Linked DNA regions of Arabidopsis thaliana. Each later gene encodes a partner of the first gene's protein in a complex. Each region holds a gene or a part of one and is shown on either strand. Other genes may lie near its edges. The genes, in order: AT4G02030, VPS54, AT1G71300 and POK.

Evidence for each region.
Region 2: AT4G02030 (region 1) and VPS54 share a complex: the UniProt entries of both Arabidopsis thaliana proteins name them as parts of the golgi-associated retrograde protein (GARP) complex.
Region 3: AT4G02030 (region 1) and AT1G71300 share a complex: the UniProt entries of both Arabidopsis thaliana proteins name them as parts of the golgi-associated retrograde protein (GARP) complex.
Region 4: AT4G02030 (region 1) and POK share a complex: the UniProt entries of both Arabidopsis thaliana proteins name them as parts of the golgi-associated retrograde protein (GARP) complex.

The regions. Positions count from the first base shown.
Region 1 is NC_003075.7:889,916-898,260, forward strand, and holds AT4G02030 (Vps51/Vps67 family (components of vesicular transport) protein), read left to right. Parts: upstream 1-2,260; 5' UTR 2,261-2,346; coding exon 2,347-2,517; intron 2,518-2,621; coding exon 2,622-2,649; intron 2,650-2,851; coding exon 2,852-2,898; intron 2,899-2,982; coding exon 2,983-3,122; intron 3,123-3,247; coding exon 3,248-3,302; intron 3,303-3,390; coding exon 3,391-3,498; intron 3,499-3,605; coding exon 3,606-3,704; intron 3,705-3,834; coding exon 3,835-3,912; intron 3,913-4,066; coding exon 4,067-4,144; intron 4,145-4,282; coding exon 4,283-4,435; intron 4,436-4,675; coding exon 4,676-4,776; intron 4,777-4,865; coding exon 4,866-4,933; intron 4,934-5,056; coding exon 5,057-5,130; intron 5,131-5,214; coding exon 5,215-5,281; intron 5,282-5,475; coding exon 5,476-5,591; intron 5,592-5,688; coding exon 5,689-5,943; intron 5,944-6,023; coding exon 6,024-6,140; intron 6,141-6,216; coding exon 6,217-6,288; intron 6,289-6,368; coding exon 6,369-6,419; intron 6,420-6,504; and 7 more. Other genes in the region: SWN (SET domain-containing protein), read left to right, coding at 133-353, 425-556, 650-737, 828-875, 955-1,083, 1,163-1,240, 1,637-1,828; AT4G02040 (uncharacterized protein), read left to right, coding at 7,648-8,106. UniProt on the Arabidopsis thaliana protein: Acts as a component of the GARP complex that is involved in retrograde transport from early and late endosomes to the trans-Golgi network (TGN).
Region 2 is NC_003075.7:10,613,872-10,619,125, reverse strand, and holds the start of VPS54 (VPS54), read right to left. Parts: upstream 3,431-5,254; 5' UTR 3,110-3,430; coding exon 2,276-3,109; intron 2,177-2,275; coding exon 2,114-2,176; intron 2,025-2,113; coding exon 1,945-2,024; intron 1,078-1,944; coding exon 957-1,077; intron 839-956; coding exon 764-838; intron 562-763; coding exon 408-561; intron 1-407. Other genes in the region: AT4G19485 (uncharacterized protein), read right to left, coding at 3,794-3,957, 4,003-4,306; AT4G19480 (uncharacterized protein), read left to right, coding at 3,810-3,942, 4,093-4,346; AT4G19470 (Leucine-rich repeat (LRR) family protein), read left to right, coding at 4,787-4,883, 4,926-5,254. UniProt on the Arabidopsis thaliana protein: Acts as a component of the GARP complex that is involved in retrograde transport from early and late endosomes to the trans-Golgi network (TGN). The GARP complex facilitates tethering as well as SNARE complex assembly at the Golgi.
Region 3 is NC_003070.9:26,871,785-26,878,819, reverse strand, and holds AT1G71300 (Vps52 / Sac2 family), read right to left. Parts: upstream 4,757-7,035; coding exon 4,671-4,756; intron 4,591-4,670; coding exon 4,473-4,590; intron 4,352-4,472; coding exon 4,238-4,351; intron 4,127-4,237; coding exon 4,025-4,126; intron 3,949-4,024; coding exon 3,865-3,948; intron 3,755-3,864; coding exon 3,674-3,754; intron 3,583-3,673; coding exon 3,439-3,582; intron 3,318-3,438; coding exon 3,226-3,317; intron 3,157-3,225; coding exon 3,075-3,156; intron 2,934-3,074; coding exon 2,751-2,933; intron 2,580-2,750; coding exon 2,464-2,579; intron 2,376-2,463; coding exon 2,317-2,375; intron 2,168-2,316; coding exon 2,067-2,167; intron 1,979-2,066; coding exon 1,928-1,978; intron 1,746-1,927; coding exon 1,566-1,745; intron 1,473-1,565; coding exon 1,338-1,472; intron 1,167-1,337; coding exon 1,092-1,166; intron 1,076-1,091; exon of another isoform or gene 942-1,075; coding exon 501-941; downstream 1-500. Other genes in the region: RAD52-1 (cobalt ion binding protein), read left to right, coding at 1-103; AT1G71290 (F-box associated ubiquitination effector family protein), read right to left, coding at 5,578-6,177; AT1G71280 (DEA(D/H)-box RNA helicase family protein), read left to right, coding at 6,668-6,940, 7,007-7,035. UniProt on the Arabidopsis thaliana protein: May be involved in retrograde transport of early and late endosomes to the late Golgi.
Region 4 is NC_003070.9:26,861,511-26,870,117, reverse strand, and holds POK (Vps52 / Sac2 family), read right to left. Parts: upstream 6,532-8,607; 5' UTR 6,383-6,531; coding exon 6,356-6,382; intron 6,256-6,355; coding exon 6,161-6,255; intron 6,061-6,160; coding exon 6,003-6,060; intron 5,831-6,002; coding exon 5,735-5,830; intron 5,599-5,734; coding exon 5,497-5,598; intron 5,342-5,496; coding exon 5,258-5,341; intron 5,172-5,257; coding exon 5,091-5,171; intron 4,694-5,090; coding exon 4,550-4,693; intron 4,150-4,549; coding exon 4,058-4,149; intron 3,771-4,057; coding exon 3,689-3,770; intron 3,406-3,688; coding exon 3,223-3,405; intron 2,757-3,222; coding exon 2,641-2,756; intron 2,552-2,640; coding exon 2,493-2,551; intron 2,253-2,492; coding exon 2,152-2,252; intron 1,780-2,151; coding exon 1,729-1,779; intron 1,479-1,728; coding exon 1,299-1,478; intron 1,209-1,298; coding exon 1,074-1,208; intron 923-1,073; coding exon 848-922; intron 747-847; coding exon 689-746; intron 606-688; and 3 more. Other genes in the region: ATWHY2 (WHIRLY 2), read left to right, coding at 6,727-6,758, 6,847-6,950, 7,025-7,128, 7,222-7,314, 7,403-7,497, 7,581-7,654, 7,863-7,951, 8,144-8,269; AT1G71250 (GDSL-like Lipase/Acylhydrolase superfamily protein), read right to left, coding at 8,536-8,607. UniProt on the Arabidopsis thaliana protein: Acts as a component of the GARP complex that is involved in retrograde transport from early and late endosomes to the trans-Golgi network (TGN). The GARP complex facilitates tethering as well as SNARE complex assembly at the Golgi.

The DNA.
Region 1 (8,345 bases):
CAAGAGAAAACGATAGTTGACCATAAGTTGGCTTAGACAAGTGATTATTTTATTTGAGATTTTATTGATATTAGCATGCCATGTCTGTCAGAATCATATTTTGGTTTACCGCTCTCTTACTTTACTTGACAGAATGATGAGGTGCCTCCAAGGACAAGATTGTTCCGTAGAAAAGGCAAAACCCGGAAGCTAAAATACTCTACAAAGTCTGCTGGTCATCCGTCTGTCTGGAAAAGAATAGCTGGTGGCAAAAACCAGTCCTGTAAACAATACACGCCGTGTGGATGCCTGTCAATGTGCGGAAAGGATTGCCCTTGTCTAACTAATGAAACTTGCTGCGAGAAATATTGCGGGTATGCAAACAAATTAACGTCAATTGAAGTAACAGAGGATCTTCTTATAACCATCCATTGATTTAATTCAGGTGCTCAAAAAGCTGTAAAAATCGTTTCCGAGGATGTCATTGTGCAAAGAGTCAATGCAGAAGTAGGCAGTGTCCCTGCTTTGCTGCTGGCAGAGAATGTGATCCAGATGTTTGCAGAAATTGCTGGGTTAGGTAGTCATTTTAAATCTAGATCTCTTGATGTGCCATATACAATCAAATCTACTATTTGATGAGTAACTTAAGATGCCTTGCTTATTCACTCAGTTGTGGAGATGGTTCTCTCGGTGAAGCACCAAGACGCGGAGAAGGGCAATGCGGAAACATGAGACTTCTCCTGAGGCAACAACAGAGGGTATAATACTGTCATCAAATCATGTATTTACTAAAAATAAAATGCATTCATTGTTGATAAATCTAGTTTCTCATGTGCTATATTTACCAGATCCTATTGGGAAAGTCTGATGTTGCTGGATGGGGTGCTTTTCTAAAGGTAAAGCATGTGAATATCTTCCTCATTAACTTCTGTTTCATACCTCTTGTATGTAATCTGAACCTCATCTGATCATCAGAACTCGGTCAGCAAAAATGAATACCTTGGAGAATACACCGGTGAATTGATCTCACACCATGAGGCGGATAAGCGTGGGAAAATATATGACCGGGCAAATTCGTCCTTCCTCTTTGACTTGAATGATCAGGTGACCAAATCTCTCACCCTTCTTTCTGATAGTTTCCTCTTGAATTTCGCATATGTCAGTAAGCTTTTGATATTTGCAGTACGTCCTCGATGCTCAACGCAAAGGTGACAAGCTGAAATTTGCCAATCACTCAGCTAAACCCAATTGCTACGCTAAGGTACTAAATGCTTCTCTCTCATATCCATTTTGGTATGAAAAAACCACATGATCGGTTAGTAATTATACCTTCTTTCTCACCTCTAGCCACTCAAAAGTTCCATTTAGAAGGAGGACTAGGATTATAACATTTTGTAGAAACTAATCGCAATTAGCACTATAGAAAACAGATGATCAAATCTAGCTTTGTAGGTTATGATCAAAACACACTTGTTTCTACAATCTTTATGATTGTAATGTGTAAAGTAACATGTGTATATCATCTGCTAGATTTATTCAACCCTTTTCGAAAGGTGTTAATTATTTACAAAAAAGAGCGATTTTCAGTCTATTGTCGTAGTAACCATGGTCTCATCGCTTCCCGCATAAGTACGGTGTCTTTTTCTGTGTGGTGTAGGTGATGTTTGTAGCAGGAGATCACAGGGTCGGGATTTTTGCAAACGAACGAATAGAAGCTAGCGAAGAGCTTTTCTATGACTATAGATATGGACCAGACCAAGCACCAGTGTGGGCTCGCAAACCTGAAGGCTCCAAGAAAGATGATTCAGCCATTACTCATCGTAGAGCCAGAAAGCACCAATCTCATTGATGATTACTGGCTAAGAGAAGTAACTTTTATAAAAATAACTTATAGAGTTGTGAGAGATGATATTTGAAGTTTGATAACTTAAGCTTGTCTTTATTAATTAATTATTATAGAGTTGAGATTTTATTTTATTTTGACATCGAGTTTGGACTTTGTATAGGTGATAAAACAATTTATGAATTATTGGGGTCAATAAGTAAAAATGTATCATTTCGAAAAATAGTTTCAAATTTATGGATTTTTGAACAGCTAAAGCCAATCTATGTACTTTTCAACGAATAAAACTGATTTAAAATAAGTGAACGAACCAATCACACTAAACCAGTGCCTAATCTCATAAAAAGTAATCCGACTGCTAAACCGTATTCCGGTTCGAATCGGATACGGATCCGTTTCCCAGTTGATTAGTCGGATCCAGTTTCTTCTTGCTTTTTCAATTCACATTACGAATCTCCGACGCCAAAATTCTGCTTCCGGTAACAGATATTTTCGTCGTCGAGAAGAAGCAGGAGTTTAGAAAAATGGCGACGGAGGCAGCTCCGATGGACGAAAAGGCGAAGAGAATGAGAGATCTATTGTCGAGCTTCTACGCACCGGATCCTTCAATCTCGACGAGTGGTTCCTCCATCAACGCCTCTTTCGATAACATCAACAGCACTTCCTTTGATGCTGATCAGTACATGGATCTCATGGTTAGTCTTCGTTTCTTGTCAGAATATTCGTGAATCGTCAACACAAGCGTCAATAGCTTGTATATTGTATCAAATTATTGAGTATTTCGATTCACTGAAGTTAGATTCGGCTCTTTGATCTTGGTCTAAGTGGTTAGTTCGAAATTTAGAATATGTTTAGATCCGACTGTTATCTTTTGGAGCAGGAATATAGTTGCTAGTTTTGAATTCTACCCTTCGGATGAAGTTTACAGTGCAAGGTTCTTGTAGAGGTCTCTTGATCAATGTGGTCTGGTTTGGTTATTTTCTATGCAAACTTATGAGAATTCTGCAAATTTAGTTGTTCTTATCAAAGATCTTCCTGCAATGGTTGATAGTTCGGAACTAAATTGGGTTTATGAGGTTTGTGTTAAGTGTGGTGACAGTAGTGCTAGCGATCTGATTGAGATATATGCCACAGTCTGGTGATTTTATTGGCTTGTGCAGATCAAAAAGTCGAATTTGGAGGTGCTTCTGCAAAGACATGTTCAAATGGCTGCTGAGATTAAAAATCTCGACACAGACTTGCAAATGCTAGTCTATGAAAATTACAACAAGTTTATCAGTGCAACAGATACAATCAAAAGGTACTTGTAATGGTTCATGGATCGTTTCAGGTGTTAAGTGTGTCATTTAACACTTTTCTCTATATGATTTGATTTCACCACTCGGTAGTATATTAAATTCAAAATGTTGCTTCTTTACCTGGTAGGATGAAGAGTAATATTTTCGGGATGGAAGGCAATATGGACCAGCTTCTTCAGAAGGTGTTTTGAACACATATGATACACGTAGTTTTGGATTTTTTTATGGGAACTTCTCACTCATAGTATATCTCCCAACTGACTCATGCAGATAATGTCAGTACAATCAAAGAGTGATGGGGTCAACACTTCTCTTTTCGAAAAGAGAGAACATATAGAGAAACTGCACCGGACTCGTAATCTTCTTCGTAAAGTTCAGGTATGTAATGAGTCATTTTTGCTAGCTTATATATCTGCTGTGTTGTCACCTGATCATTATAGCAATAATATGAATTTACTCAAATTAATTTTTGTGAGAAAGAGCAGTTCATCTATGATTTACCTGCAAGACTGCAAAAATGTATCAAGTCAGAAGCCTATGGCGATGCTGTCAGGTTCTATACTGGAGCAATGCCAATTCTCAAGGTTTACATCTGTCCTCGGATAACTTTTCCATTTTTTTGTAGTATTCTTTTCATGTTACTGGGGCATTTAACATTCTGAAGATATATATGTGGAGATATGTTTAAAAATATGAATTTCTCTTTCTGTTCAGGTATATGGCGATACATCATTCCAAGACTGCAGGCGAGCTTCCGAAGAAGCTATAGAAATTATCATAAAGAACTTGCAGGTATACCTTTTGGTCCTAGTAGTCTATACTTGTCTGGATTAATAAAAATCTACATACAATACTGGCTTATCAACCATATAAACAAATAACTGGTCTTTATGTTTTGTGTTTGTTATTTCTTGATGCAAGAAACCTATTTTGGCTTGTTTGACAGACGAAGCTATTTTCAGATTCAGAATCCATACAGGCGAGAGCTGAAGCTGCAGTGCTTCTTAAGCAGTTAGATGTCCCTGTCAGTTCTTTCTCTTAGCTCAATTATCTGTGACTTGTTTAAGTTGTTATAGAGCTACCTAGAACGTTCGTAATGTTCATCCTTGTACAACTGGTTTATCACTGGTTGTGACATAAATTTGGATTGCACATCCTGCAGGTTGATAGCTTAAAGGCTAAACTGTTGGAAAAACTGGAACAGTCTCTTGATGGTCTTCAAATAAAGCCTGAGGAGGCAAGTACACTTGTAGAGGACGATGATTCATCTAACGATACAGAAAGCAATGACCAACATCCTGCTAAAATTCATGAGGTAAACACGGACTATGTCGCTTCCTTATCCTTTGTGTTTTTGATGAATGCAAGTTGGAACACAGTCAAACTGACTGTATCTATTAAGCACTTTGAATATCCGCAGCTGCTTTACAGGAGATTTTCTCATTAGCCACCATATTGAGATCTCTTTTCTTTTATTTCATTTGGTTTATCAGACTTGACGAGCTTTTTATTTGCACTTTTGATATTTTAATGGTTGTCCCCTTTTTTCTGATAGGATGCCGTACGTGGATTTTCTGAGGCCATACGTGCTTATCGAGAAATATTCCCCGACTCAGAAGAAAGACTTTTCAAACTCGCGAGAGCCTTAACAGCAATGTAACGCACTTTTCTTTGATATATTGATCCATAAATCGAGACTTTGTTTGTGTCTGACCTGCAGAATTTCTAACACTTATGGTTGTTAGGCACTTTGAGTACATGGAGCTATATATAAAAAAACGGGTTTCTGCAGCAGATTTTCTAGGAATTTTTCGTGAGTACAGTGAATTTCCTCATGCCCTTGTCTCTTTTTTATGTTGCTTTCATTTCTTCTGAAAGCTTTGGTTAAATCAGTCTAATGAACATATATACCCTGTCTGATTTCTGTTGGACGTAGGAATTGTATGGGAAGATGTGGTACTTATGGACGAGGTGCTACCTGAGGCTGCACTCTCTGATTTATCTGCAGAGGTTGACCCTCATTTATGTTGTGTGGTTCTATTTTTCGTTATAATGTGTAGAACTATATATGATTACTAGCACTCCTCATTTCAGGCTGCCCAGGTTACTCTTAAGCAATTTGTTGCGAGAATGTTTTCTCATCTTCAACAGGATATATCAGGTTCGCTGTTTTCTAATTTCTACTGGATTCAGAATTTCTTAGTGAGGGAAAAGAGAGAATGAGTGTAGCTTCACTTTTCATAAGAACTTCTGTGAAATGGCCTTTAAGTAATTTGAAGAGTAGATTAATCTCTTCGTGAAGTTTTAGTCTTCAAATGAAATAGAATTATAATGAGGTATATATATACATGGCAGATACTCTCTTGAAATTCGATATCAACCAAAAGGAAGCAGTTGAAGGGGAACTCTTGAAGGTTGTCCTGGAAGCTAGCCAAAAAGCAGTGCTACAAGGCACCACAAATATATTTCAGGCACATTCCTTCTTCTGTTATTTATTATATTTTGGCTGTTATATCATCTGTATGAATTCCATGCTCAAAAACGCTTATATTCGTTCTATCACTTCAGGACTTCCGTCAGCTTCTTGATGAAAAAACTGGAATATTTATAAAGATGAAGGATTTAATCAGTGGTTGGATTCAGAAAGGATCTCAAGACTTCTTCAGGTCACTAGAAGCTCAATTTCTAGTGCTTTCTGGAAAAACTAGCTCATCAAACGATATAGAGGGAAAATCGAGTGACAAAATTCATGCTGGTCTCATTCTTGTATTGGCGCAGCTCTCTGTCTTCATCGAACAAAAGGTCATCCCGAGAGTTACTGAGGTGAGATTCTTACAAGTAGTTTTGCATAAAGTTTAAATCAATTGGTAGCTGGTTTTGAGAAATTTCATATGCTTATTCAGGAAATAGCTGCTTCCTTCTCTGGTGGAAATTCCCAAGCCTTTGAGAATGGACCTGCTTTTATTCCTGGAGAACTTTGCCGGGTCTTCCACGCAGCCAGCGAGAAACTTCTCCAGCATGTATGAATGAAACTCCAAAACTTGAGGTCGTTTACCAAAACTTAACATCAACTAACTAAATCATTTCATATTTCAGTACATAGACACAAGAACACAGAAGGTATCAGTTTTACTGAGAAAAAGGTTCAAGACACCTAACTGGGTTAAGGTATTGCTGTTGTGGTGTGGCTAATCTTCTTAGAGAAGCATTTTACCAGTCATTGTTTTTTAATTCCAAATATTATGCAGCACAAGGAGCCACGAGAGGTTCACATGTATGTCGATATGTTTCTTCACGAGGTTTGACAACTCTTCTCCTCTTAACCTGGAAATTATCTAAAGAGCATGCAATAAATCATATTTGTTTGGATTTTCTACTTCGCAGTTAGAAGAAGTTGGTAAAGAAGTGAAACAAGTTTTACCTCAAGGGACTTTCCGTAAGCACAAAAGAACAGACAGCAACGGAAGTAACACTACAACCTCATCACGAAGCAATACCCTCCATAATGATAAGATGGCACGGTCAAATTCACAAAGAGCTCGTAGTCAGCTTTTCGAGACACATCTTGCAAAACTGTTCAAGCAAAAAGTAGAAATATTCACCAAGGTTGAATTTACCCAGGTAAAAACGAAAGAGGTTCCCTTATAGTTATATCAAACGCGCACTGCCACACGCTCATCATCTCCTGATCTCTTTTCGTGCTAAATATTTGCAGGAATCCGTTGTTACAACAACAGTAAAACTTTGTCTGAAGAGTTTGCAAGAATATGTCCGTCTCCAAACGTTTAACCGGAGCGGGTTCCAGCAGATTCAGCTAGACATTCAGTTCTTAAAAGCTCCATTGAAGGAAGCAGTTGAGGACGAAGCTGCAATAGACTTCTTGCTCGACGAGGTGGTTACACCTAAAGCTCCTTCCTTTACTTTTCTTCTTATTACCATCAAGCAGAGGCTCTATGTCTATCTTTTGCAACTGACCATTGATTCTCCGACCATGATGTGTGTTTGTATTGACAGGTGATCGTTGCGGCTTCGGAGAGATGTCTTGATGTGATTCCATTGGAGCCACCGATCTTGGACAAACTCATACAAGCTAAACTCGCTAAATCAAAGGAGCACAACAACAACACAGTTTCTTCTTAAAAGTTTTCATAACTCAAACAAAGTATACATGATTTTTGCCAATTTATTTCCGCTTCTTGTTATCATCCGTAGTGTAAATCAAAACCATTGAATTGTACTCTCTAGCATTGAACCAGTAAAATCTACACCGTAACTTCTTCTTTACTTTTGTGAACAAATCTTTGAATTTTTTTTTTTAGCAACATGCAATTTGACTTAAAAGATATGTAAAACCCTAAAACTAAACTACATAAATTCCTAATTACACTAAAACCCTAAAATTGAGTGCCGAAAAAATAGAAAAAATATTCATAGTCACGGCCTCACGGGTCTCTCTATTATATAAGAACTCCTTGAGACTTAAAAAAAATCTCACATTCCCTCTCTCTAATCAAAAAGCTAAAAGCAATGGCCACTGCGATGTCTTACTCTTCTCAAAACCATCGATTCGAGCACCAAACCCTAATCCACCGTAACCCTAAGCCTCGTCTTTGCCGCAACTCTTCAACAGCTCCTCGCCGACGCAAGCAAAGCCCTACGGTTGTTAAATCTCCGGCGGCGAATCCAAATCTTGTAATGGAACAAGTCAAGATCCTCAAACGCGGTGAGACATTGAGCGCGTTTAATAAGAACAAGGAAAACATTAGCTCCGACGATACAAGACGACCTGTTTTGAAGATGATAAAAGATGTTGATCTGATTGTATCGGCTACTAATAGAATTGGACCTGAACCAGAGATTTTGATGAAACAGATCGGAGCTTTGGGATTGCAGAGCTTCGCCGGAGCTAATTGCTCTCTTTCGCCGCCTCCAAGCTGTGTTCCAATTCCATGTTTCTTAGGGACGAAGAACAATCTCCTTGTTTAGATCATCTGATTTGGGGAAAACAAAAACCCTAAAATCGAAACCGTCTTTTGATGGTCTCGTAAGAGCAGATGTGTGAAGAAATCCTGAGATAGAGAGTAAACAAATCTCTTTGTTTATCTCAAAGAAGAAGAAGAAGATGGAGAATGTGATCACAAAACGCCAATTGCAACCAAAATCTTTACTCTGTAATCGAGTGTTTTGGTGTAACAGTCACTGTGACTATTTTCAATCGCTTTTTT
Region 2 (5,254 bases), 9.7 Mb from region 1:
ATGCACTAGGAGTAAGTATGGTTTCTGGAGAGACAAACTACCACCTAAGTAGAATACATTTCCGAAGAGAAGGATGATAAAATTTCATTAAATCCTTAAAAGTAAGTTTTCAGCCAACATTCTTCATCAGTTGACCAATTTCCATGTAAATTACTTCCAAGTCGGGTCTCAGATCAAATGAGATTTAATAAGAAAACAAGCAAATGGGAATATCCAGCAATATTGATAAGGGCATTTGCTAAAACAAGAATCCAATACTGTCGTTTCTATGGTGTTGACCTTGATGAGAATGTGTGTTAGAGGAATTCTACACATTTCAAATACAAACTTATGTTCAACCATGTTCTCATGCACAAACTAAGTCGCATGACAATCTGTATACATAGTAAGAACAATTAAAATCTCACCATCATCTACAGAGCGCTCCCCATGTGAAAAATCAGATTCGAGCGATCTTGCAACAAGAATGGGAAGCAGATCAGCAACTGCTTTCTTGATTGCATTTTTCATTTCGGATGTGAGTGTATCACGATACATCCTCAAAATTGACGGGAACTTTGCCTATGAAAACAGTTCAAAGAACAATACATGAGAAACTGAATTAAGACTATGCCCTGAATGAGCACTATGAACCAACAATAAAGACCGGGAATGGCATAAACGAAGAAATTAAAACAATCAGTGGTAGCATATGTTGGAAAAATAATCAGGTCAACTTCAGTGGTAGCATTTGTTAGAAAAATAATCAGGTCTGGTCACTCACCGTTCTTAGCAATCCAATAACTAAAGGAAGAAGCCGATCACATAAGGTAGAGGTATCCTCTTCTTCTAACTTAACCTGCAAAGGCGTAAGCCCAATATTCAGAGTCATGATGGTCGTTGTTTCAGTTCTTTTTCTGATAATCTACCACTTCTCACAGTTTAGGATCTTCTATTCAGTACCGGATGAGACTTACTTCTTCGCCGGTATTCCCGTTAGATGAAATGGATCCCCGTATATTTGCTGCAGATAAAATCAGTACATCTATCTCCCCAGTATCATGTATGGAGATACGCATGAATTCTGAAGTGAGAATACTACAAAGAAAAAATCAATGAACCATCAGGCACTAGACCAAATAAACAAATAAAAGAAAATAATAGAGAAAACAGGACTGGTAGATAACTGCATATAGAAAGTGAACTTACATTATAGTAAAATTTTCACGGAACAATTCACTACCAAAGAAAATCAATATACTAAACATTTAACTGATACAAATGCCTACAGGTTGTATACTGTTCTACACCTTTTGAAGGTAACAAAATATGAATGAAGTATCAAAATAATGACGAACATAGTACATTTCAATGCAAACCAAGATTTATCATAATAAGGGTAATTCCGCCAGCAAGGCATTACCGCATGCAAGAACTTAAGGGGAAAGTTTAAGAGTTCAGAAGTTATGATTGATTACTAATAGAATGCTACAAGCCTGGATGCATGCATAGTCATCAGACGGTAAAACTATCCACCGCAATTGGCAGTTATAAAACTTAATCTCAGCAAATGGCCCAAGCACACGGGTAACATGAAAGGGTTGATCTACAAAGAAACAGCGACTTCGCAAATTATAGAGAGACTATCTGCTATATATAAACCAGAAGTCAATAAAAGGACGTAGAAGGGTAAAAAAAAACCAGAGCTGCAAAACCCTGCAAACATTTTTCAAATATCGACTGCCTTCACTATCTAAGAATTTCAAGACGCTCGAAAGCGAGACTCAAAAACATAGTCAATAATTCACATCTTCACCACTTCTCTAAAAACTTGGTAAGGTACTTTGCACAGTTAAGATCCGACTTACTCTCATTGTTCCCAATCAATCCATCCTAAAAGAGCATTACAGGCAGACTAAATACAGCCTATTATAGTCAGTTATCATAGCCTGAAAAGAGACACACCTGTTTATGGAATCTATGGAACTAGTAACATGATCCCGAAGATGGCGGAAGCAGTATAGACCAGTAAGCTCATCCCCAGCCTAAAAAAGACAGGAATCCATTTTACATTCTAAAGAAAGAGCACCCTAATCGTCTAAAAGTATCCAACATCAATCACAGATGAACTTACCAGCAAGTTCTGGAGATCGTCAGTTATATCCAAAGCTCCAGCACAATCTGCGGACGCAACAAGCTGAACAATAAAGAATCAAACTTCCATCAATAAAAGATAGGAAAAACAAAAAAGTATCTACATTGACACTACTCTAAGCAAATCAGTAAGAAAAATTACCAATTTGAGTGCAGAGAGAGCTTGGTTAACATACAAAATAAGTCTTAATTTACGTTGCAGCTCCAGCATATTAATCCTAGTTGAGCTCAGCTCTTGAATCTGTCGAGCTGAATCTACCAAATTCCTATCCAGGAGCCGAATAGTCTCTTTCAACTCACGAATCCTACTACAACCCTCAACAATCTTCACATTCAAATCCTGTAACTGTCCTTGAGCCTCAAAAAACGAATCAGACCTCACAGAGATCTCCTTCACAAGATGCAGCTCCACCACATCAAGATACTGTGACAACTTCTCTTGAAGCGCTAGATTCTCATTAAGGCTCGAGAAAGGGCAAGCAGAACGAAATGTAGCTCCGTCCTCAAGAGCAAAATCCTCCTTAAAGTAAAGCGAAGGAACCTCACGCAAACACGCAGCTAAACCCGATACATGGCTCTCCTGATCAAACCCACAGCTCTCTTCCCTAGTATGCTTCCTAATATCCTCAAATCTACCATGAGACTCAGAGATCGAAGAAACGTAGCCATGGAAGTCGGATCTGGTTAGCTCCGAACCAGGGAGCTTCGTTGAAGCAACAGGCGCAAACTCAGCTGGAGCTACAAATGTCGATGAAGACCACCAACCAACCCAAGATGCATCGGAACCATAAACACCAGACTTACCTCCGTGTGGATTGTTAAGGATCGAAGAGAGACTTTGACTACTTGCATCGGAGATCGATTTGGTTAACGGTGAAGGAGAAGATGAAGAAGACGAAGAAGGACGACCAAGATCTAAGCTCGATCGGTTCGAATTGGTAATGGACCTTCCCATTAGGGAAGGGTGTGAATCCATAAGTCCTTCACGAAATCAAAATCATGAACCAAAATTGTGGAAAAATTCACAAGTTGATCTGGGGAAGAATCGAATTTCAAAATCAGAGAGATCTTTGGGATTTTAAGAGTGTGGATCGAATCGAATTGTGTGTGTGTTGTGAGAAAGTTTGGTGAGAGTTTGGATCTGGAAGAGAAGCTAAGGAACGGAGGACTCACTGAGGAAAGTCCTCTCTGGGTTCGAGACTCGATGGTTCGAGAGAGGTGGTGCTGTGAGCAGTGCGGGGTTTCACTACGCAGATTTAATCGACGGTGCATTAGGTATCCACGTCATCTACAGAAAAGGATAAATGTCAGTTTGATTCTGTAATTATGAATAACTGATTTTCATTACTAGTAAAATTAATATTACTATATTACAAATATCTTTTCAATTCAATAAATCAAATAGTTCTCTAACAAAATTTGTAATATTCTAATTAGTTAATTTGGAAAAATGCCTTGTTTTGTTTATACTTTTGAAAAATATCCTATGGATTTTTGTTTGAGTTAATTTGGAAAAATGCCTTGTATTTTTTTTACTTAATTATGTTGTTTTCATATATTACTCATGGAAATTTTTGGATCAAGCATATGTTAATATTAGAAAATATATATTAGAAGAACAATATTTTAAAATACAACATTTTGTTTAACCACAAAAATTTTAAGTCTTCACTTCAATGACACCTCTACTAACGGTTTCTTGTGTGACTTCAGACACAGTTGATGCTTCCACAAGCTCACTTGATAAAGGTCCAAGCGAAGAAGAAAGTCCTACCGACTTCAAGTGCGGTGTCTCAGAAGCCATGGAAGGTGTGTTCTTATGCACTATGGGTTTCTAATCTGATGTTTCCACAAGTTCACTTCAATCACTTGATGACTCTCTAATGGAAGAATAAAATCTTAGTGGATTAGCATGCAGAGTCTCAGAAGCCATGGAAGGTGTGTTCTTGTTGATTACAGTTTCTTTAGTTGATCTTTCCACAAGCTCACTTGATGAATCTCCAATTGGAGAAGAAAATCTTAATGGATTCGAGTGTGGTGTATCAGACGCTACGGAAGAAGTGTTCTTGTATATTCTGGGTTTCTTGGCTGATGCTTCCACAATATCACTTGATGAAGCCCCAAGTGAAGAGGACAATCCTAGCGGATTCAAGTGCTGTGTCTCGGAAGCCATGGAAGATATGTTCTTGTGTGTTGATACCAACATCGGATGATCAAAGATACAAGTGGGACCGGAGCTGCAGTTTCCACTGTAAAAATATAAGGTACACACGGGTTCTCCATGTCGAAAGATTGGAGCAAAAATTGAGCAAGCGATAAACACAGATGATAGTAATGAGATTAGAAAAACAGAGTTCAGTTTGAAGTCGAACAAGCTTTTGGTGTTGGTTAGTTCAAAAGAATGAGGTTTGAAGCAAAGAAAACTAACGTCTGCTAGATTGCTACTGCTAGTTTAAGAAATGGCTCACCGTCCGTGAAGGGAGGCCTTTGGAGCTTAAGGAGGTCTCAAGGACATGGGTTTCTCTCTCACTCGGATGATGGAATTTACACATACTGTAATACCAAAGTTGCAGTCTCCTGTCTGCATGTAACATGGGCATCTGGTAAAACATGGAATCCCCAAACAAACATGGGAAGCTTAGAGATTCTGCTAATGGATGATACATCCATCAAACAAACTCCCAGAACAATGTGTATGAGTAATCTCAAGCTGTTTTCGTTTGGTGGATCTAAAGTCCAAGATTTCAGAGGTTTGGAGTTGCTGCCTTTCTCAGGTTGCTCTCAGTTATCAGACATGTATCTCACAGATTGTAATCTGTACAAATTCCCGGACAATTTTAGCTGCTTATCCTCGCTGCAGTCTTTATGCTTGAGCCGAAACAGTATCGAGAATCTACCAGGAAGCATCAAGAAACTTCATCATCTCAAATCTCTTTACTTAAAGAATTGCAAAAATCTCATTTCTCTTCCAGTGCTTCCATCAAATCAGTACTTGGATGTTCATGGCTGTATCTCACTCGAAACAGTTTCAAAACCCATGACGCTTCTAGTGATAGCTGAAAAGACCCATTCTACTTTCGTATTCACGGATTGCTACAAGCTAAACCGAGATGCACAAGAA
Region 3 (7,035 bases), on another chromosome or scaffold:
AGGCTATGGTGATGCTGTGCAAAAGGCGGAAGCAATGGCATTTCGCCGTGCGTGTGCAAGATTTGGATTAGGGCTTCATCTTTATCACGAGGATGCTTTGTAAAGGGTAATCTTTCTTTAACCATGGGAAAGTATATTATTTTGGTGTTCCCACTGCCTAGTAGTAGTAGTCTTTGAAGGTAAAACTCAGGGAAGCTTAAGTTTTTGGTATCTTAGATATGTATCAGCTGATATTGATCGCTTTATGATTTGAAATCGGTTAATGAAATGACCTTCAGAGGACTCTTTGTTGCATTTCTGTAACTTAACTTGAGGTTGCAACTTTAACCAGTAAAAGTTATCTGTTTGTGGCAATTCGCATCTGCACTCTCTGTTCACTCCTTGTAGAAATTCCCATGAAATTATCCAAGACACACAGGCTGAGAAAATACCTAGACTAAATAAGGATAATAGTAGCAAAAGACATAAGAATTATACATAAGGAGCCAATATGTTATCTTTCAGAAAGTCTTTTTGTATTTCTTGATCTCGAACATGATTGATTGATAGTTGACAATATCCCTGTTGAGAGCAGATCCACCATCTATCTTCTTGATACAGTCTTCGAGTCTTGTGTAATAAAGCAAAAGTTGTGTCATTCCAGCTATCAAAATATCCATACCACACAAGAAGTTACTAAAGCAAGTTATGATATCTTTGTGCATCAATTCTATCGCTGTCTTCCATCTGCTTCCAAAGTCCTTCACCAGCGGCTCTACTTCAGCAACTGTGATGGACCTCTCTAAATTTGGACTTGAATCCTCATCTGCTAAGTACAATTCGGTGGTTATTCGACTTAACAAACAATGAGTGCGCGAAGACAAGAAAGAAAGAAGGTGCTTACTGGCTCGGCTTTTAACAAATTTGATCATATCACTGAAATGCTCCACCAGCAATTCTTCCTGCGAAATTACAAGAAATTAAACAAAACAATAATGGAAACATAATACACCAAATCTTACTATCTTTTTATGCTCTTTGTAGCTTGTATACTTGATCAAACAGAAATCAGCAAATTATAAAGGCAATCAAACTGAAACATTGTCCCTTACCGCAAATAAGGAAGTGTTGCTCTTTAGTAATTCCTCAAAATGCATTTGAATTTTCCCACCCTCTGGTTCAGCTTCCTAGAATAGATGAAGATTGATCAAAACAGATTAATATATTTCTGGTAAGGAAAGAAACCCAAGAAACAATAGATATGAGTTAAGATTTGTAGATAATTCGCATAGGCTGACTTCTTAGTGGTCTACATGGGTGCACTTAAACATGAGAGAGCCAAGGGTTCTTCTACTCACCTTCAGCACAGCAATGGTCATATCATAGTTGTTAATGAGAAACACCATCTGTTGCTTTGGCCTTGGGAACAACTTTGCAAGCTTAAGAATCAAGCTGTCTACTGCCATTCTTAAACGCTCCAAATTTATATCAAGCTGCAAAGTTTCATAGACAAATGTCAAGAGCTTTGGGTGAGAAGCTCCAAATAACACATATCGTTAGGGACAGAGAGAATACTTATAACGAACCTGCCCATCTCCATATTCAACATTCAGGTGAATAAACGAAGCCGTGAATTCAGCATAACGTCTCATGATATAGTGAGGATGCACATCATCTTCCCATATTGTATTTATGTTTGCATTTCGCAGACTGCCGATGTGCAAGTCAAACACCGTCTTAAAACGAGGCCACAAAGAAATATTAACCTGCTCAATTTGCAAAAGATTCATTAAGGAAATCAACCAAGCGGCATCTATGAGCTCATATCTAAAATCTATGCAAGACATTCAAAGTTATACCAGGTAGAAAACATAAGTTGGCACAACTGCAAGTAATATACATTAAGAGTATATCACACAGACTAAAAGAGAGACAAGGAGTTACTAACCTTGTCCAGATATGAATCCAGGCATGGAATCCTCCGGCGAGACATGATAAGCTGTGAAAAAGTGGCATTATTGAGAAATGCTTGATACACATAGTTGAGATATAAACAATCATCACACTCAAACTAATAATTGGGTTACCTGGTGGTGGTGTATAATGCGAATCATAAGCAGCAAACCGATAGCATCATAACAGCTTGAGAGGACGGAATCCAAGTGCTCATAGATAACAGAGAATGGGCCTGTGTCATGGAGAATTCAGAATTTATCCAAGAAAAAATTGCGTAAGACAATATTTCTTACACACTACTCAAGTACCATATAAAAATTTGTAACAACTATTCTGACTACAAAGTTTGGTATAGAAAAAGGAGGAAAGATTAAAACTTACCCGCAAATATTTCATAAAATATAGACTGTTCACCAAAGAAATCTTCACAAAAGATATACCTGTCAAAATGAAAACAAATGACGTTAACAAGGGGGTGGGTGGTGAGAAACAATAACACAAATAGAAAAGAGGAAAGATCAACAGAACTCAGAAGTAGCTGTATCCATAAGTAGCTTGTGCAAGCTCCTGAAGAGCACTTCATAAGGATACTTGAGAGAGCTGGCTTCGGCTATGTGCGGGATCAAAGCAGGTTGATCAATTTCCTACATCATACATAGTGAAACTTAAGTCTTTTAACAAACTCTTGCGATATAATACCTCCAAGTCAACGATAAGAAATACAGGAAAATATCAAGTGAACGTGGAACTAACGAATTCGCCAAATCATGCTCAATGGTCTGAAAAAATATAATCACTGGATAAATGATGAATACCTTTATAATTTGTATCCTCTCACCCAAAGCAAAAACGGCACAACGGTTCTTTAGTGGCTCCTTAGATCTTGAGAAGAGGCCAGTGCTTCTAGTGTCCACACCAATCAAGTCGTTTGATGTGGCTATATCTAACTGTAGTTTCTCAAATGCTTGAATATAAGACTGAAAATGTGCACTTAGCACCTGAAACCAGATCTCACATTATATTAGGTGTAACATTAACAACTGAAAGCCTAACCCATAACATAAAGCTTGTTCAATCTAACCTGCATACATCATCTAATCATTATAGCTCTAGTGAGAATACAAGAAAAGAAGAAGTACCTTGTTCATGGTATCTATGTATGCAGCGCGGACATCCATAAACACTTCTTTTCCATGTTCTTTGAGGAAGGAGATAATATACCTATGATCAAAATGTAATTTGGTAAATGAAGTACGTAAAAAAACCAAAGTAAAAGGGTGCATGACTCACTTGTACTTTAAAAACACACTCTGTTGAAGAATCTGAATGTTTGTTTTGGGTTTCCTCAGGGCTATAAGCTTCTGAACAATAAAATCATAAACCTGCAAAACGGAAATAAATGAGAATTGCTCCCTCGACGTGCATGCCCTTGGAAGCATTGGAACAGAACAAACAAAGACATAATTGTTACGAATCAAGTAACAGAGAAAGTAGATTAACAACCTTGGAAATAGCTTTTTGCCGGAGCTTTTCAAGCTCAGGCTCTACATCTTTTAATGCTTTGGAACTTTTAACTGCTTGATCTGTTTCTACAAATTTCAGCTTCTTGCTCAGAATTCCAAGTGTTTTGATATACTCTTCATTCACCTGAATACAGAAAATAGCAAGACTATCAGATTAGAAATAAAAATCCTACCAAAGCAACAATTACATAGAAAGAGGGAATTTGAAAAGATACCTCTCCATCAACAATTACATGAATCATCTTTGGTGGTACTATAAAGTCTTCGACAAATTTTGCTAGCTTTGATTCAGTCACCTGTTCATATAGGAGAGCTTGTTTTGATGAGTAACACACATAAGAAAATACCACCGAGGTTGAAGGAGAAAGAGATAATACTAATAGTGGTTTCTGATATGACTATATACCCTTCGATTTTTCAGTCTCAAACCCATGTCCATTGAATTTTCTTGAAGAATCTTTATGTCTGAACTTATAGAACCAATCTCTTCCTGAAAGAAACGAAGAAGCAAAGTGCGCATTCAGATTAAGGAGAAAGAATCACAAACTATATAAATTGTCAAATACCTGAAATCCACTGAGAAGAGTTTCCATTTGTGACAAGATGCAGTTACAGTCACGAATCTGATCGTGAAGTGAGACTAGTTTATCACTTTCTTTTATGTAATCCTGAGTATTAATGGAGGGTAGAAACATTAGTAAATTACGATATTAAACTTGTACAAGGAACAAAATACGTTACATGAAAAGTAGAAAACAACGAGTGCCACAATGTATCACAGGTAAGAGAATAGCAACCTCAACTGAATCCAATTCAACCTTCCGTAGATTGTTTTCAACACCTTTGGCATATTCTCTAAGTTTGTCACCACTGGACAGTATATTGGCAACAACCTGAACTTTCACAAGAAAAATAGCCTTGGATCAAAACTTCTATCCATGTACAGAGTAAGTCAAAACGGAGTAGATATGATACTGGAAAAAACTTTGTTCACTTTCAGTTTTTTTTTCTCACCTCGTCACTTTCACATTCTTCAAGTTCTTGTTGAAGCCCTTCCAATGATATATCCTCACTGCCCAACAAAAAGAGTAATGTCGATTTTATGAATGAGACAGAACCAAAGGAGAGCATTCTAAATCAGAACAATAAAGAGAAGCAGAAACTTATGTCAAACTCGAATTAAGGTAAACAGAAAAGACATGAGAATGTTACCTTCTTGAATCCTCTTCAAAAGCCAAGTCTCCAAAGAATGCTCCTAATTCAGATTCATGTTTCTCAAGATTACTGAAGTCGTCCATAGCTTGGCCCTATGTTTTTAGATAGACACAAACTTCGATAAGAGACTTGATATGAGCCTGTGATTTCGGTTTCGTGCAGTTTGTTAACGTGAGAAAGATTTTAGCAAGCTTCCTTTTAACGCAAGTCGCTCTTAGAGAGAGTTAGGGTTAATTGTTTGATTTCTTATTGATCATAAAGGGACTTTATATACAGACAAGGAACAATCCAACTTAAAGCCTTACAATATATCATTACTAGAAATCCTAATTGAAAAGGGAAAAACCTCAAAACCAATCTTAATCATGAGAAAAACGAAAAATCACCAAAAACCCTAGTCGATGGTAACGTTATGTTTTTTTAGTTAGAAGAGGAAGAGCAAAGAGAATAGACCCAAACTTCGATGAGAGATCGAACCCGCAAAAGAAGTAAAACAACCATAACAATAACATCATGATCCAAAAGGCTTTAGAACTCAGCAAATCAAATTTAGAGCGAAAACGAAGTGCCAGCTTACCAATGAGTTAGTGGGCATGTTGCTGTACAAATTCTGGAGAAACACCAATGGTTATAACAATAGTCAAATCTTAATCTTAGTATATATATATACAAAATTTGAGAATTGATTTGAAGGCCACGGAGCCACTGGCGATATAGATGAGAGGATACGCAAATACCAAGGAGGTCTATATTATTTTTGTGATACCAACAAATGTCTATTTTTATTTTATTTTCTTACAGATATTGTCGAGAAAAAAGAAGTTAAGATCTCCAAATTTTAATAGATTTTGTAAAAACTCAAAATCTGATTCTCGCATATATATAACAACCTAACTCTTGTTCTTCACATAAGCCAAGTACTATCAACATGATCCAAGAAGGTTCGAACATCATGAAGCTGATCTCTAGCTACACCTTCAATCGTAAATCTTCTGAGATTTTGTGTGACTGTATCATAATAAACCACATAGAATGATCTCTCAATCACAGAGTCTTGAGCGAACACAAGTTCTCCAGTTCCAATGGTACCTTTGAAGAAAAACTCCATATTTCCAACATGTTGTTCCCAATGAGGAATCTCAATGCAGTTTCTCCACCAAGTTCCATCAGTTTCGTTCCTTACCCACAATTCAAATACTCCATTGCCATTCGGTTCTTTCACAATACCAAAGTCAAACTCAGAGTCATCTACTAAGGCAACTTCCCCATTGTAGTTCACCAATCTCCAACGATGATCAATCTTGACTTCCTCAGGCAATTCAATGACGCTAAACTCTTCAGAACTCACGTTGAAGCTCACTACCACAGATTTGTCACTATTGGACTCATCAGCTCCATAATACAAGAAACCTCCTTTACATAGTCCTTCAGTAACTGGTGAATGATCATGCTTACATGTGATCACTCTCCAAGAATTAGATTCTTCACCTGATCCCACCGTCATTGTGTATACCTGATATTCCCTAGAACGCCTACCATCTCCGTACTGTGATATTACACAGTGGTTCCTCTTCTTGATAAACAGAGTGAAACACACCATCACGTCCGAACGGGGAAGTTGATGAACGACAATCGAGGCCTTGTCGTCATCGATCGGCGCAAGTAAGATCTCTGAATGCTCTCGAGCGGATTAAAGATGCCAACTTCTTTTAGACAAGATACATTTCACCAATGATTTCAGAGGTAACCGTGACAGAATATCTGTTTGTAGATCTCTGAATGCTCTCCGAGTTTGTTACTGTCAAATGTCAATGTTTAGAGGTATTCTTTTAAGCAATGACTAGAGCTTTACTTTAACAATGGGCCGAGAGATGTATCTCTTCTCTTAGTGGGCTTTAGTAGAAACTGGACCAAAAACTACCTAATTCGAACAAAATTTTGCTGTAGGTCTAAAAAATAAAGCTGGAGTGAGCAACAAGCAAGCGGCGGCCGTCATGGATTCATCGCCACCGAACACTATCATCGAGGAGGCGCCGCCGCGTTTCTCTGAACTCAAACCTCCGCTCTCAGAAGATATCATCGAGGCGCTTGACCGGTCCGGTTTCGAGGTCTGCACTCCGGTTCAGGCCGAGACGATCCCTTTCCTCTGCAGCCACAAGGATGTTGTCGTCGACGCAGCCACTGGTTCTGGAAAAACCCTAGCTTTCCTCCTTCCCTTCATAGAGATTATCCGTCGATCCAACTCCTACCCTCCGAAGCCACACCAGGTAAGGAGAATTAGCCGAATATCAAGAGTAGTAGCTTATGCTATATGTTAACAATTTCAATCTCAGGTAATGGGGGTGATTATATCGCCAACGAG
Region 4 (8,607 bases), on another chromosome or scaffold:
TATTTAATATAATAGAGAATTATACTCTCTCATTTGTCAAAATGTTAAAAAGCAAAATGGCTTCTTCTTTTTTAAAAAAAACTGAGATCATGTTTGTCTTTTGGTTCTATTTTATGAAATTGATTCCAAACATATTGGTCAGATAATTGTGGAGAATTTAGCAAAAGAAAGACATTAGAGGAACTCTTACTGGTTTGAAAGATAGATACATTACTGACCCATAATACTGGCTTTAGATTCACTTTGAAAATTTTGACTTATCTTACATACTCTTCATTAAGGAGCCACATATGCTATCTTTCAGAAAGTCTTGGAGTATTTCCTGATCTCGTACATGATAGATTGGATGGAGACAAGATCCCTATTCAGAGCAGATCCACCATCTATCTTCTTGATGCAGTCTGTGAGTCTTGTGTAATAGAGCAATAGTTGTGTCAATGCAGCTCTCAAAATATCCATACCACACAAGAAGTTACTGAAGGAAGTTATGATGTCTTTGTCCATCAACTCAATCGCTGTCTTCCATCTGCTTCCAAAGTCCTTCACCAGTGGCTCTACTTCAGCAATTGTAATGGACCTCTCTGGATTTAAGCTCGAATCCTCAGCTGCCACATATCTTACAGTTTAGTGGTTTTTCAACTTAACACTCGATGAGTACGTGAAGAAAAGAAAGAAACAAGTTGCTTACAAGCTCGATTTTTCACGAATTTGATCAAATCACTGAAATGCTCCACCAGCAGTTCTTCCTACGAGTTAACATCAGATTTAAGGTTAGGCTACTACAAAGACAGTTTTATGTTATACCCATGAAGCAAATTACAAAGGTAACCTAGTATTTGCCCCTTACCACAAATAATGAAGTGTTACTCTTTAGCATTTCCTCAAAATGCATTTGAATTTTCCCACCTTCTGGTCCAGCTTCCTAAAATACAGGAAGATGATCAAAACAGATTCTTTTGGTAGGTCAGACTCAATTAGTTAAGCCTTGAGATTCGTAGAAAGCCATTTCAAACCAAGAAAACACTGGTCCACATGGGTGCACTTAACATGAGACGGCCAAGGATTCAACTCACCTTCAGTACAGCGATTGTCATATCGTAGTTATTTATGAGAAACACAATTTGCTGCTTTGGCCTTGGGAACAACTTTGCAAGCTTGAGAATCAACCCATCTACAGCCATTCTTAACCGCTCCAGATTTATATCAAGCTGCAGCGGTTCATATATAGTGTCAAGCGATTTGAGTGATGAGAACAGGTAATACATATCACTAGAGACAGAAGCAATCTTATAACGAACCTGCCCATCTCCATATTCAACGTTTAGGTGAATAAACGAAGCCGTGAATTCAGCATAACGCCTCATGACATAGTGAGGATGAACATCATCTTCCCATAATGTCTTAATGTTTGCATCTCTCAGACTGCTAAGGTGTGAGTCAAACACCATCTTGAAACGAGGCCACAAAGAAATATTAACCTGCTCAATTTCCAAAATAAAAGATTCATTGAGAGAGGACTATGAAACCTAAGGAAATCAAACCATAGCCGCATCTATAAGCTTATATCTAAGATCTATACAAGACCTTCAAAGTTATACCAAAAAGAAAACATTTAGCGACCAAGTGAAAACAGCTGAAGATGAGCACAATAATAATGAACTCTTTTTATTGCACCATACATATTTAAATGTTGATCAAACATAATAAAAGAGATAGAGAGGTATGAACCTTGTCCAGATATGAGTCCAGGCATGGAATTCTCCGGCGAGACATGATAAGCTGTAAAAAAGGTGGGAAAGTATTGCTTAACTATTAGTGGACATATAATACCATCATGACCCTTGCAAAAGGCTGGATCATGAAAATAAGTAATATAAGCTACACTAGATTATCATACTGTTGAGAAAAAATATAGACTGGTTGTAATACGCCTATGTGGACCAGTTGAAGGTATATCTACATCGTTAGTTTGCAAGATATTAAGAGAACTCTTTCCAATGCCAAGTTGATAAATATCTAACCATACTTCAATGCATTCTCACATATGTGGGAGACTAGAAAAGTTCAAAAGGGAAGAAGCTAAATAAATTACCTAATTCCAAGATATTCACCAAAACGCAGATAAACTAGTAGTTAGGTCATCGTTAATACCTGGTGGTGGTGTATTATGCGAATCATAAGCATCAGGCCAATAGCATCAAAACAGTTTGAAAGAACGGGATTGAAGTGCTCATCGATGACAGAAAATGGACCTGTATCATTTAAATTTTAGAATTTATCCAAAAAACTGCTACAATTATCATATCCATTGTAAAGTACAAGAGGTTCAGCTTTCTATCCGGAAGAAGAGAAGATAATTTCTTACACGCTGCTCAACACCATATCAAATTTGGTATACCAGTATTACAGGAAAAACAGATGTTCTTCTACACAGCTAACAAAATCCACAAAGTTTGGTACAGCAAAAGGAAGGGAGACAGATTAGAAATTACCCGCAAAAATTTCATAGAATATGGACTCTTCACCAAAGAAATCATCACAAAACATATACCTGTTAAAATGAAAACAAATGACGTTAACCAGGGGGTTGAGCGATGAGCGACAATAACACAAATATAAAAGGGGAAAAATCAACAGAACTCAGAAGTAGCTGTATCCATAAGTAGCTTGTGCAGGCTCCTGAAGAGCACTTCATAAGGATATTTGAGAGAGCTGGCTTCGGCTATGTGCGGGATCAAAGCAGGTTGATCAATATCCTACAGCGGTCATACTGAAACTTAAGTCTTTTAACGAATATTGTTAAACCAAACAAACTTTGGATTTACTTCTTCTATAGCAAAAAAAAACAAATTGATACCACACTAATCCAAATTGAAAATGAGAAAAACAAATCGAAACTTCCATCTATTTGAGGAGCCTTTAAAATTAAGGATACATATCGTAAAAACCAAAACTGAAATGAACCAAAATATTTGATTCCTATAATTTATAACCTAAGACTAAAATATCTGAACCAAAACCAAAGTGGGCACTCCTCAATAAAACTTATGGTGTACAATACATTAATATAACTTATACTTTATTTGTAAAGACGCAGACCTAGTACCATCTTTTGTATTAAAGAGTCAGAAGAGCAACTCATTTTATATAACAAATTCGCCAGAGCATGTAGAATGGTCGAAAAAATCAATCAAAAAATGATAACTGCTGAATGATGCATACCTTTATAATTTTTATCCTGTCACCCAAAGCAAAAACGGCAGAGCGGTTCTTTAGTGGCTCCCTAGCTCTTGAGAAGAGGCCGGTGGTTCTGGTCTCTACCCCAATTAAGTCATATGCTGTGGCTATATCTAACTGTAGTTTCTCAAGTGCTTGAATATAAGCACGAAAATGTGCACTTAACACCTGAAACAAGATCATACAATACATAAGGTGTAATAACATTTAAAAGCCTAAGCTAGCAAACAGCATTTTTATCTAACCAACTAGCTTTGTCCAATTATAGTTAGAAAACAAGAATAGAAGAATTACTTGCATGTAACGTACAATTGGATGTTGTATCCACTACCTTGCATATGCGGAGAATAACCTTAGTCAAATCTATCTGTGTATTCTTCCTCATTCAACTAAGACTATATAAAGGAGTTGCAGCATAGTGTAAGAAATCAAACAAGATAAAGAATATCACCTTGTTCATGGTATCAATGTATGCAGCACGAACATCCATAAACACTTCTTTTCCATGTTCCTTGAGGAAGGAGATAATATACCTATCATTAAATTGTAATTGGTGAATGAAGTATGTATCCACATAAGTCTTGTAGAAGCAATATAATATCAAGTTGGATATCAGTAACATGTAAAATAAAACAACTCCGTCAACATCACAAAGGGAAAATCCAAACCAAGATAACTAACCAAAACGTTTGTAAGGTGATGACCACATACACATGCAGAAAAAGTTAACAGAAACATACATGCAAGACAGGAGACGTTGTACAATTTGTAGTTTCACTACGTCAAAACCAATTAAAGGGGCTTGGAGAGCATAACTCACTTGTACTTTAATAACACACTCTGTTGAAGAATCTGAATGTTTGTTTTGGGTTTCCTCAGGGCTATAAGCTTCTGGACAATAAAATCATACACCTGCAAAACGAATTTAAATCTATTGCATGAGAACAAATTTAGAATGCTCCATCGACGTGCAGTCGTGCATGCCCTTTCAGCATTGGACGAGAACAAACACAAATGACTTAATACAGAACTAAAAGTTGAATTTATCGCAGATGGCAACTTTTTCCTGGCCATAAATTCTTTCAGAGGGAAGGAACAATGATTCATCTCATTGAGGTAGAATAAGTTGAGTTATATCAGGAACTTAACTTTTCTGTAGTTTTTTATCAAACAATTAACAACTTTAAGAAATATGCATGTATCAGTGTGTTTTGAGAGTCAATAGGTACAGTTATGTTTGGACCTATCACACTCCCTTCAGCGAAATATATAAGTTTTTGGTATCAAGTAACAGAGAAAGTAGATCAATAACCTTGGAAATAGCTTTCTGCCGAAGCTTTTCGAGCTCAGGCTCTACATCTTTTAACGCTTTGGAACTTTTAACTGCCTGATCTGCTTCTACAAATTTTAGCTTCTTACTCAGAATTTCAAGCGTTTTCATATACTCTTCATTCACCTGAATAAGGAAAATAATACGACTATCAGATTAGCAATAAAAATACCCTCAGCAATCCAACCTAGGCTTAAATGCACCACTATGGTTTTACAAAAAAAACACGTACTCAGGGGACATAAAGATAGGACTAAATGGTGTAAGAAAACAAAATGAAGAAAATTTAATAAATTTTAGTATTGCACATAGGGGAAGCATATACCAAGCTTAACCAGAAAATGTTGTTTTTCTATTTTTCCTCCATGTTTCAGATTACAACATATGCACCAAATCAGTAATTCTTATAGCACCAGAAACAAAAAGAAAAATTAGACATGTATACAACATGACGAGATCCTACAAAATTCCTACAAATCTCCAACCCTACCAAAGCTACATAAAAAGTGAATTTGAAAAATACCTCTCCGTCAACAATTACATCTATCATCTTTGGTGGCACTATAATGTCTTCGACAAATTTTGCTAGCTTTGATTCAGCCACCTATTCAAATAGAAGAGTTCATTTGGATGAGTCACGAGTGAAAGCAGCAAGAGATAATACCAATAGTGGTTTCTGATTAGCTATACCCTGCGGTTTTTCAATCTCAAACCCATGTCCATTGACTTTTCTTGAAGAATCTTTATGTCTGAACTTATAGAACCAATCTCTTCCTGAAAGAAAAGAAGCAAAGTGCACATTTAGATTACCAGGAAAAAATATATGTATTTCAAAGTAAAAAAATTCCTCCCATTAAGCAAAAGTCAGAATAAGGAGAAAGAAGCACATACATACACACAAATTATATAAATGTCTAATTTTCAAATACCTGAAATCCACTGAGAAGAGTTTCCATTTGTGACAGGATGCTGTCACAGTCACGAATCTGATCGTGAAGTGAGACTAGGTTGTCACTTTCCTTTATGTAATCCTGAGTATTCATGGAATGTAAAGCATTTAAGTTAGTTACTTACGATATCAAAGAAATTCCCGAACTTATAGACGGAAGTACATAAAAAGTAGAAAACAACAAGTGCCACAATGTAGCACAGGTAGAGAATAACAACCTCGATTGAATCCAATTCAACCTTGCGTAGATTGTTTTCAACCCCTTTTGCATATTCTCTAAGTTTGTCACCACTAGACAGTATATTGGCAACAACCTGACATTTCACACAAACAAGATAGAAAGGACATCATATCCATGGATCTAACATTCTATGATCAATCCATGTACTCCAAAGTAACTCAAATGAGAGTAGAAACAATACTTCGAAAAAGAAGAACCGAGGTGCTAGCTTTATAAGTTTGATCTCAGTTAAGTGAATAACTTACCTCATCACTTTCACATTCTTCAAGTTCTTGTTGAAGCCCTTCCAATGAAATATCCTCACTGCCAAACAAATCAAAGGAGAGCATTCTAATCAGAAGAACAAAGAGAAGCAGAAACATATGTTATAGTCGAATTAAGATACAAAACATGAGAACGTTACCTGCCTGAATCTTCTTCAAAAGCCAAGTCTCCAACAAATGCTCCTAAATCAAATCCAAGTTTCTCATGATTACTAAAGTCCCCCATAGTTTGGCCCTATGAATTTCAGATAGAAGAGCAAAGCGAATTAGACAAGAGATCATAAAGGATCCATGATTAAGGCTAGAAGATCACGAATGCAAAAAAAATGAAGTACCAATGCGTCAATGGAAATGTCGGACATCTTCCTAATGAGATTAAGAGTTGAAAGATCTTCAACTAGAAAACGAAATCAGAATCCTCGAAATCAGTTTGAGTCCGCCATTAGAGAGTCTTCTTCTTCTTCTTCTTCTTCTTCTTCTTCTTCTTCTTCTTCTTCAGCTTCACCTTTCTCAGATTCGTTCGTCTTCTCTAATCTGATTTTTAATTTCCCAATCAACAATAAAGGCCCATTGGGCCGTTAAAAGACTTATATATAAAACAAACGGGTTAAAATATGGGTCGCCCGATAAAACCCGTTTTGATAAATCATAAAACCTCAGAAGTCGGAAGACCTCAAGTGATGCTTTTTACTCGAGACAGAAGAAGATGATGAAGCAAGCCCGCTCTTTGCTCTCCAGGTTACTTCAGTTCCTCTCAAAATTCAGATTTTAGATTTCATTACTCTTAAAATGGCTTCTCTGGGTTGGTTTGTTTTTGTTAAAGCAGGAGCCTTTGTGACCAAAGTAAGTCACTTTTCGAAGCTTCGACGTTGCGTGGTTTTGCAAGCTGGTCAAATTCTTCAACCCCTGGACGTGGATTCCCTGGTAAAGGTAAGAACTTGGTTTGTTTCCGTTTCGTCAGTTTAAGTGTACTTGCCCTAATTTTGTTTGCTTGATTTGAGAAGATGCCGCAAAGCCTAGTGGTCGATTGTTCGCACCTTATTCTATCTTCAAAGGAAAAGCTGCTCTCTCTGTTGAACCTGTTCTTCCCAGTTTCACTGAAATCGATGTAAGCCCAAAATCCATTTCTTTTTAGTTTTGTGTGTTCTCTTTAAAGGCTTCTTTTAGATTCTCATTACTTACTGTGAGTACAATTGTTTAGTCGGGAAATCTTCGGATAGATCGTCGTGGATCCTTAATGATGACTTTTATGCCTGCTATTGGTGAGCGTAAGTACGACTGGGAAAAGAAACAGGTATTGATCTTTTTCACACTCTCTATCTTCTTCACTTGTCTCTTCTTTCTCCTCTGATAAATTTGGTTTGTTTCCTACATTATTGCAGAAATTTGCTTTGTCACCTACTGAAGTTGGATCCTTAATTAGCATGGGTTCCAAAGACAGCTCCGAGTTTTTCCATGACCCTTCCATGAAATCAAGGTTTGTCTTTTTTTGCTTCAATACATTATATTTTTATCGCAGCATTTTCATGTTCTGACATAGACTTGTCTTTGACTCCTCAGTAATGCTGGTCAAGTCAGGAAGTCACTGTCAGTTAAGCCCCACGCAGATGGTAGCGGCTACTTCATCTCATTGAGTAAGGCTTCTATCAAATTAACATGGATAATCAGTACTGAAATACTTAGTTATGGGAGCTTTCTGTTTAGTAAATTTAGAAGCTTGCACTTGTATTAGTTTTGTAATATGGCGATAACAGTTTTCGCACAGAATAGCTGTCTTATAACAATAGGAATGCTGAATTCTTAATGCTGTATAAACACTTACCTTCTGCGGTTTTGTTGCAGGCGTTAACAATAGCATCCTCAAAACCAATGACTATTTTGTGGTTCCTGTCACAAAAGCTGAATTTGCAGTGATGAAGACAGCTTTTAGTGTAAGATAAGATTTTTATTCTGCGTTCTCTATATTCTGTTACTATTATATCAGTTCGAGAACCAAAAACATTGACTAGAAAAACCAAGGGCATTGCTTCTCTGTCAGTTTTAGCACATGAATCTGGATCAAGTATATATTCTTCAAGGGATATTGGTGATTGTTTTTTAACCAGATTTTGTATTTTGTGCAGTTTGCTCTTCCACACATCATGGGTTGGAATCGGTTAACTGGTCACGTTAATACTGAAGCTCTGCCGTCGAGGAATGTTTCTCATCTAAAGACTGAACCACAGTTAGAGCTGGAGTGGGATAAATGAAATGATGAGAGTAGTAGGAACGGAGTAAATTGAAAATGCATGTGTTCTTTTTTCTGGCATTTGGTGCACACGAAACTCGGCATGCTCTGTTTTGAAACTAATATGTCCTCTCTAAGACTTCTAAATCATGGGTCTTCTTGTTTTCATTAGCACATATGTTATTTAGTACAAGCATTTTGGTTTCAACTTGATACTCGATACTCATAGATAGATAGGTTCAATCATTATAACATACAACTTCAAAGAAACACGAAAACCAAAATATACTAGTGAAGGAGTGTCATCTGTTGGACATTGACAGGATATGCGTCGGAAGGTGGACCATAGAAAGCTCGTCT